Linked DNA regions of Nothobranchius furzeri. The protein of the gene in region 1 interacts with the protein of each later gene in a pairwise test. Links are inferred from orthologs where the notes say so. Each region holds a gene or a part of one and is shown in the gene's direction. Other genes may lie near its edges. The genes, in order: ppp1r12a and atxn10.

Evidence for each region.
Region 2: the proteins of ppp1r12a (region 1) and atxn10 interact in binary tests that used the Homo sapiens proteins (3 or more experiments, as listed by UniProt). The link is inferred for Nothobranchius furzeri from reciprocal best matches to the Homo sapiens genes PPP1R12A and ATXN10.

What each region holds. Positions count from the first base shown.
Region 1 is NC_091741.1:40,818,549-40,822,473, reverse strand, and holds the start of ppp1r12a (protein phosphatase 1 regulatory subunit 12A), read left to right. Parts: upstream 1-1,509; 5' UTR 1,510-1,610; coding exon 1,611-1,847; intron 1,848-3,925. UniProt on the Homo sapiens protein: Key regulator of protein phosphatase 1C (PPP1C). Mediates binding to myosin. As part of the PPP1C complex, involved in dephosphorylation of PLK1. Capable of inhibiting HIF1AN-dependent suppression of HIF1A activity.
Region 2 is NC_091741.1:53,728,108-53,731,932, reverse strand, and holds part of atxn10 (ataxin-10), read left to right. Parts: intron 1-1,899; coding exon 1,900-1,985; intron 1,986-2,081; coding exon 2,082-2,178; intron 2,179-3,580; coding exon 3,581-3,745; intron 3,746-3,825. UniProt on the Homo sapiens protein: May play a role in the regulation of cytokinesis. May play a role in signaling by stimulating protein glycosylation. Induces neuritogenesis by activating the Ras-MAP kinase pathway and is necessary for the survival of cerebellar neurons.

The sequences.
Region 1 (3,925 bases):
AGAAAACTAAGAATAAGATGTTCAAACGAACTGTAGCTATTAAGTGGTAAGGGACTGATTAATAAGTCTGAATGAAAAATGGTTGCTACTCCTCCTCGGAAAAATGGTTGCTACTCCTCCTCCTCGCCCTGTACTTTGAGCAATATGATGATTTAAATAATTTGAAGGAGTCGACTCATTTAAGCTAACATAGTCCTCTTGCTGCAGCCAGGATTCTGTGAGAGAGAGAGCAAAGAGATCTGATTATCACAAATCAAGTCATTAACTAACAAAGTCTTTGAAAAAATTGATCTAATGTTCAACAACCCACATTTAATTTTTCTAGTTTTCTGCTCAGTAGAATTTGTTCTAATATTTATGAGATTTCCATGATTTGCTTTATTAAGCCTGATATTTAATCTGTGTGATTTTGGCCGTGGACAGGACACTGTCTCTATGGGGTAGTGGGTGGGTAACAGTACAGAAGCTGCAGAGGGGTGGGTTAAACTACGACTCTGCTTCCTGGTCTGGACCCTGGGTTGTTTAAACAATATTTCGTACCAGACACTGCAAAAACATAAAATAAAATAAAAAAAAGTTTTTAAACTTAAAAACATGGATTTAATATATGTTGTAGTTTAGTTTCAGGTTTGTTTTTATATGATAATCAAAATGTATTATATATATATATATATATATATATATATATATATATTTATATTCTACTACTACTACTACTAATATTTATAATTATTATTATTATTATTATTATTATTATTATTATTATTATTATTATACAATTTAACTTAAAAAACAATAAAGTATTGCTGTCAAAACTCTGACACTAGTCAGTGACTCAGTGCACTTTGCTGGGTTTCTTTTTATAGGAAGCTTGTTACTGATTGGCTTAATGACCTGCATGGACGTAATTTTCACTTTAGAAGTGGGGGAGACACGGGAGGGGGGGGGGTATCTTTACACTATGCTCTAATGGGAAACAGGCTTCAACACAAACAGTTGTTTTCCGCTTTGTCCTAGAGCTCAACCAGTGTCAATTTAATATAGCGTAATATTGCTTTTGGATGGTAAAAAGTGCAGGGGTCAAATCTTGACTTTGGAAAAAGTGGGGGGGACATGTCCCCCCTGTCCCCCCCAAAATTACGTCCATGATGACCTGAACTGGAATGTTTACTGTGTGAAGTGCCTTGAGACTTCTCTTGTCGTGATTTGGCGCTATATAAATGAACTTGAATTGAATTACATAATGAATTTGCAGTTACAACTAGTTCTATTTTACATTCGGTTCATTTTTATACACATATTTGAATAGTAAAGATTCAATTTTAGTCACATCCCTCAAAAATCATGTACATAAAATATTATATGTCCCATCGGTTTGCCAGAGATCCCAACTAATGACGTTATGCTGCAGTCTGATCTGATGCTGCCTCGCCTGAGCTCCAGTTCTCGCGAGATTATCGGAAATTTCCAGACGTCCTCTTTCACGCCGTGTCCCCTCCTCCTCCTCCACAGCCCTCCCCTCTTCCCACGCCCCAGTGCGTTGTGGGATAGTGGCACTATAAAGTATACCCTCTCTCGGACAACGATAAGAAGTCTGAGTCAGGAGGGGGATGAAGATGGCGGACGCCAAGCAGAAGAGGAATGAACAGCTAAAGCAATGGCTGGGCTCGGAAACGGACCAGGAACCTTCTGTTTTGAAAAAGAAGAAGACGAAGGTGAAGTTCGATGATGGCGCCGTGTTTCTGGCTGCCTGCTCAAGCGGCGATACCGAGGAGGTGCTCCGTCTACTTGACCGGGGCGCTGACATCAACTACGCCAATGTAGACGGTCTCACTGCTCTTCACCAGGTTCGTGTCTGATTGCCATTGTTGGCCATTTTATCTATTTGCACCGTAGCATCAGTTTACCGTCTGTAACTGCTTCCTGTGTTGTAACACCTGTCAAATTGAAGCCATTCTCACTTCGCTGTTTACCTACCTTGCACACTCGCCTTTTTCGACGCTGAGAATAGATTAGCACCTTCCTGAGCCCTATTAACTGGTTTAATGCCTGTGCACATATTACAGAACTTCGTTTTTTTAGTTTGATTTCTTTTAGCCTTTATAGACTAGCTTCGATCCGTATTAAAGCCTTTGGGTGCAGTCTAATTGCTGTTCTGTTGTAGCTCAAAATCCCACAGCTATGTCGTCTTTTTTCTGGAGTGGTTTTAGACAAATTAGTAATGACGTTTTCTCGTGTGCAGTGATTGCTGTGTAAAATCTAAAACTTAAAATGTGTCCTAAGTAGTCTCTTTAGTAGTAGCTGTCATGTGTAGAAGCATAATCCCAGATCAGTTGATTCCACCAGCGGATGGTGTAGTGCCGCAAGAACTTCCACTGGCGTAGAATGGCAAACTCTAAAGAAACAAACCGAATGTTGACACTTTGCTACCCTCAAGACCCCACGTTCCATCAGTTATACTGTTTTTAAAATATATATGTTAACTATATGGGGTGCATTCGTGAAAGAGTGTTTTCCCCCAGCACACAGCACCGGCTATTACCTGGCTAGCAGTAAAAGTCGTTTTGTTGATAAATCCCTCAGCAGCGACGACTCTCAGGGGGTGAAACCAAAGTTATTGGACATTAGTTGTTATTTTAACTCTAATTGATGTCTTTAAGTGACATTTATGTATTATTTCTTCTGACATAATTAATAAACGCAGTGGTATTTACAATGAAGAATAAAATGTAGTGAGTTGTGAGCTAGCGCTGTTAGCATGCTAAGATAACCGACGCTGGCTGTTATGGAGTTGATTTTGACTCGATTCATTCATTAGCCGAGGTGACGGACGACGTGCCTCGTTCTTACTAGTCTCTATTTCTTTCTTTTTTTACATTTCTTGTCTTTGTGGCGTGTATCAGAACACCAATGTGTATGCGGTTGGCAGTTTGTTGTTTTGACAGAAACGCCATCCGTGCCAAGCTAACAGTTTTGCTGCTAATCTCTTTAGCAACGTTCACTAGCATATGTGCTCGGAGTGTTATCAGACTGCGGCGACCTCATCCGTAAAATTATTTAGAAAGGGGGCCTGGATTAAAATAATCACATAAAAACACTTAAATATTCGATCGGCCGGTGCTCGTAGTGCCCGTGTCCTCTTGAAGGTGGGACAGATATGTTCACTCTGGGAAAAACAGCTAAATGTTATGCTGCTTATAAACTAGGCCTGCAATAAACTAGCTTTAGAACACGATGAACTGTTCTTGTTGAACCCAAATCGAGTTCATTTTTATTACGCACCCACTTGTGAGGCTGTATTTTGATGAGTCAAAGACGCAAATATTCATGTGTGTTGATGGAAATACCTAATAAAAAATCCTAAACTATTCTACAGACATCCTCTTAATATTTCATGTAAAACTGCTGCAAAATTAAGATGATCATCAAGTGAATCTATTGTCTGATCGTCTTAGATGATAATTTAACCTTGATCTTCACTTTATTTCAGTAAATCCAAAGTTTATAAAGCCTCCCGATTGTATATCTTTCCTGTTTTAATCCCAGCCAGTGTCTGTTCCATTTTGTCTCACTCATGGACTGTCACTTGCTTTGTATGTGGCATGGAGATGACCATATGATGCAGATTTTTGCATTAGACACTCCTAGCAGAGAGAAACCAACTGTTGGAGAGAGGCAACCGATTTATAGAAAGCGAATAAATGCCCATTCTCCTTAAAAGCAAAAACAGACCCTTGTATTGTCAACAATTTCACTGAAACTAATCAAAAGTCCCTTATCATAAGCACACTTTGTAAGTTTATGTTCCACAAGCTGTTCTAAAATAGGCATTATGTGTTTATAGATCAAGATGTGTTCTACCAAATATACGAGGAGGCATTTCAAACCAACCAATGCCCCCGTCCTTATTCCGAAGCTTAGTGGA
Region 2 (3,825 bases), about 13 Mb from region 1:
GACATGACTGCAATAAGTAAAGGTTATCAGCTGCAGTTTTAGTGTGCTCATAGGAAACGTGACAAAAGAAAACAAAACACATTTCTCTTTATGGCCTATATAGTTTTCATCATCAACTTAACATGATTTACAGAATACATGTGACCAACTAACATTTCATGTTCTACCACCGGATGTTTGGATCAAAATATGAACCAATCAGATCTTAGATCAGGTGAGAGCCAGGCATTTCCCGTCATCCCCTAGGTTTTGCAGCCGAGGGAGAGCAACTGCAGCGCCTTGCTCCAAAATCTGCGGCCGCCTTGATCTCACAAGGTTATCGTTGCCTACGCATGCATGACGTCAGAGCAAGTCGGCGTCAAGTCGGACACAAATCTAACCGGCATGCACTGCTCGCCGATCACCGTTGGTCTAATCTGCGCAGAACTGGCTCATCTAGAACACAGCCAATGGTTCGAGTACAGCAAAGCGGAGTTGGTGATGTACTGCGTTGTATGCCGGAAGTATGCGACGACAAAATCGAGTTGTTGAGGGAACAAACAAATTCAAACTTGAATACGTTATTATGTTTGTGAATGTGTACAAAATGAAGGTTTATTACATTTAAAATGGTTCAGTTGTTATTTTGACTCGTTTTGGCAGCTGACCAGCGGGGCCGGTAGATTCTTGGCGGGGCCGGTAAATATTCAGAGTTACCGGCCTGGCTGGCCGGTTAGTTTTGAAGTTAATGTCCACCCCTCTGTCAAGAAATATTGGCGCTCTCCCCGAGCTCAGGGATGGATTACACCGCGCTGTGAATTCACAGACTCATATTATTGTCGAGATGAGTCTAAAGCTTGGAACTTTGGCTGAGATTCATGCATTGGCACAAAAGATGGATGCAATCAAGGATCGAGTGGACGAATCAGCATGGATTGGGATAGATTAATTTACGCCATTATTGGATTTTGAGAGGTTGAGGACCAGCTGAACCTTAAGACAGAGAAGAAATTATTTCTGTCTGGCCCCCAAACAATTTCTTATCTGAATCTAGTGCCCTTGAGCCTGTGAGGCTGCAACGAATAATCCCCCCTCAGAAGAAATGTGGAATGCTGCCGTCACTATGGCATCTGTCTCCTATCCCAGCCTGGGTGGGACTGCGGGCTGTGAAAGCTGCCAAATCGTTCCAGGAGTCACTGTGCCCTCCAAATCCCAACGACCTCCCTCCCCTGTCCAGACTGAGATGATGTGTGCTGCTTATCATGGCTGCAGGCACTGAAGTGTGGAGAGTCCCAAACCCACCACCCCACCTAGTGGACAGTTATGTTGTCTTATGTCTGAAGTCTGTTGCATCTCTGTCTGAGGTGGTTTTTTTTTTGCATAGCAAAGCTGCCCTCCCTCTGGAGGGTAACTCTGAAGTGCCTTTTTTTTCCCTCCACCTGAACCAATCCTCATGTAACCCTCTGATCTTTATTAAGGTAGCGCGACTCAGGGTTGCGAATGACCACAGTCACCAATTGTTGTCATGTGTCTTTGGCTATGTATGTCTGATCTCTGAATTGTGTGTACTAAAACTCTGATTTCCCTCTGGGATTAATAAAGTATATTTGAATTGAATTGTGATAATAATGTAAACTTTACTTTCTTTATTTCATTTTTTTTTATATTTCATTTATTTACCAAATGCGTTCAGGGTAATTGTTCACTTTTGTTTAGTTCTACAGACTGTGGTTCATTGAAAAAAAAAGCATTTTTAATCAATCAATCAATCAATCAATCAATCAATCAATCAATCAATCAATCAATCAAAGCTTTATTTATAAAGCGCCTTCCGCAACCCTGTCAGGAAGCCCAAAGCGCTAATGACTATTTCTGATAATTGTACATTAACAAGAAAACCCTGTGTTACCTCATTTTCAGGGAACTAGGTTTCATCGATGTTTCTCTTAAACTTCTGAGTTACCTTCAGACAGAAGACATTGGAAACAAAGATTCCACTCATGAACGTGAGTTTAAATTTAAGCAGCTGATTAAACGAATGCATTTTAGTGACAAAACCGTCTTTATTCCATCCATCTAAATGTTTATCTTCTATGGTTCAGCTCTTCGATGTGGAATCCAGTTCCTTGGGAACTTGGCTGTTGGAAACCAGATGAGTAAAGATGAAATTTGGCAACTGAGCTTCCCTGATCTCCTCCTGTAAGTGTCGTGTGTCTTCGTCGCAGCAGTAGGAGACATTTCATGGTGACCTACAGTGGGGCAAAAAAGTATTTAGTCAGCCACCGATTGTGCAAGTTCTCCCACTTAAAATGATGACAGAGGTCAGCAATTTTCATCATAGGTACACTTCAACTGTGAGAGACAGAATGTGAAAAAAAATCCATGAATTCACATGGCAGGATTTTTAAAGAATTTATTTGTAAATCAGGGTGGACAATAAGTATTTGGTCAAGACCCAGCCACATTTCATCTTCAAAGCTCTCACTGATGGAAGGAGGTTTTGGCTCAGAATCTCATGATACATGGCCCCATTCATTCTGTCCTTAACACGGATCAGTCGTCCTGTCCCCTTAGCAGAAAAACAGCCCCAAAGCATGATGTTCCCACCCCCATGCTTCACAGTAGGTATGGTGTTCTTGGGATGCAACTCAGTATTCTTCTTCCTCCAAACACGACGAGTTGAGTTTATACCAAAAAGTTCTACTTTGGTTTCATCTGACCACATGACATTCTCCCAATCCTCTGCTGTATCATCCATGTGCTCTCTGGCAAACTTCAGACGTGCCTGGACATGCACTGGCTTCAGCAGCGGAACACGTCTGGCACTGCAGGATTTGATTAACTGCCGTTGTAGTGTGTTACTGATGGTGACCTTTGTTACTGTGGTCCTAGCTCTCTGCAGGTCATTCACCAGGTCCCCCCGTGTGGTTCTGGGATTCTTGCTCACCATTCTCATGATCATTTTGACCCCACGGGATGAGATCTTGCGTGGAGCCCCAGATCGAGGGAGATTATCAGTGGTCTTGTATGTCTTCTATTTTCTGATAATTGCTCCCACAGTTGATTATTTCACACCAAGCTGCTTGCCTATTGTAGATTCACTCTTCCCAGTCTGGTGCAGGTCTACAATTCTTTTCCTGGTGTCCTTCGAAAGCTCTTTGGTCTTGGCCATAATGGAGTTTGGAGTCTGACTGTTTGAGGCTGTGGACAGGTGTCTTTTATACAGATAATGAGTTCAAACAGGTGCCATTAATACAGGTAATGAGTGGAGGACAGAAAAGCTTTTTAAAGAAGACGTTACAGGTCTGTGAGAGCCACATATTTTCCTTGTTTGAAGTGACCAAATACTTATTTTCCACCCTGATTTACAAATAAATTCTTTAAAAATCCTGCCATGTGAATTCATGGATTTTTTTTCACATTCTGTCTCTCACAGTTGAAGTGTACCTATGATGTAAATTACTGACCTCTGTCATCATTTTAAGTGGGAGAACTTGCACAATCGGTGGCTGACTAAATACTTTTTTGCCCCACTGTACTTATTGACTGTATGAATCCAAGCATCCTTCCTTGAACGGAGCAAACTTATATGTGTGAACAGGCAGCTGCTCAGTGCCGATGATGAGAAAGTGGTCTCCTACGCCTCCATGGTTCTCCACACGTGTCTGGATGAAGCCAAGGTGGAGAATCTGTCCCAGCCTCAGAACATCAAGCTGGCTCTCAGGGTGATGGAGCTGTGTCAGACCCAGCCGGACCTGGACTGGACGTAGGTGTTTGTTTCTGATGGTTTGTCTTTGAGGAAAGGCTCTTTTAGATTTTGATGCCATCAAAGTGTGTATTAAAACA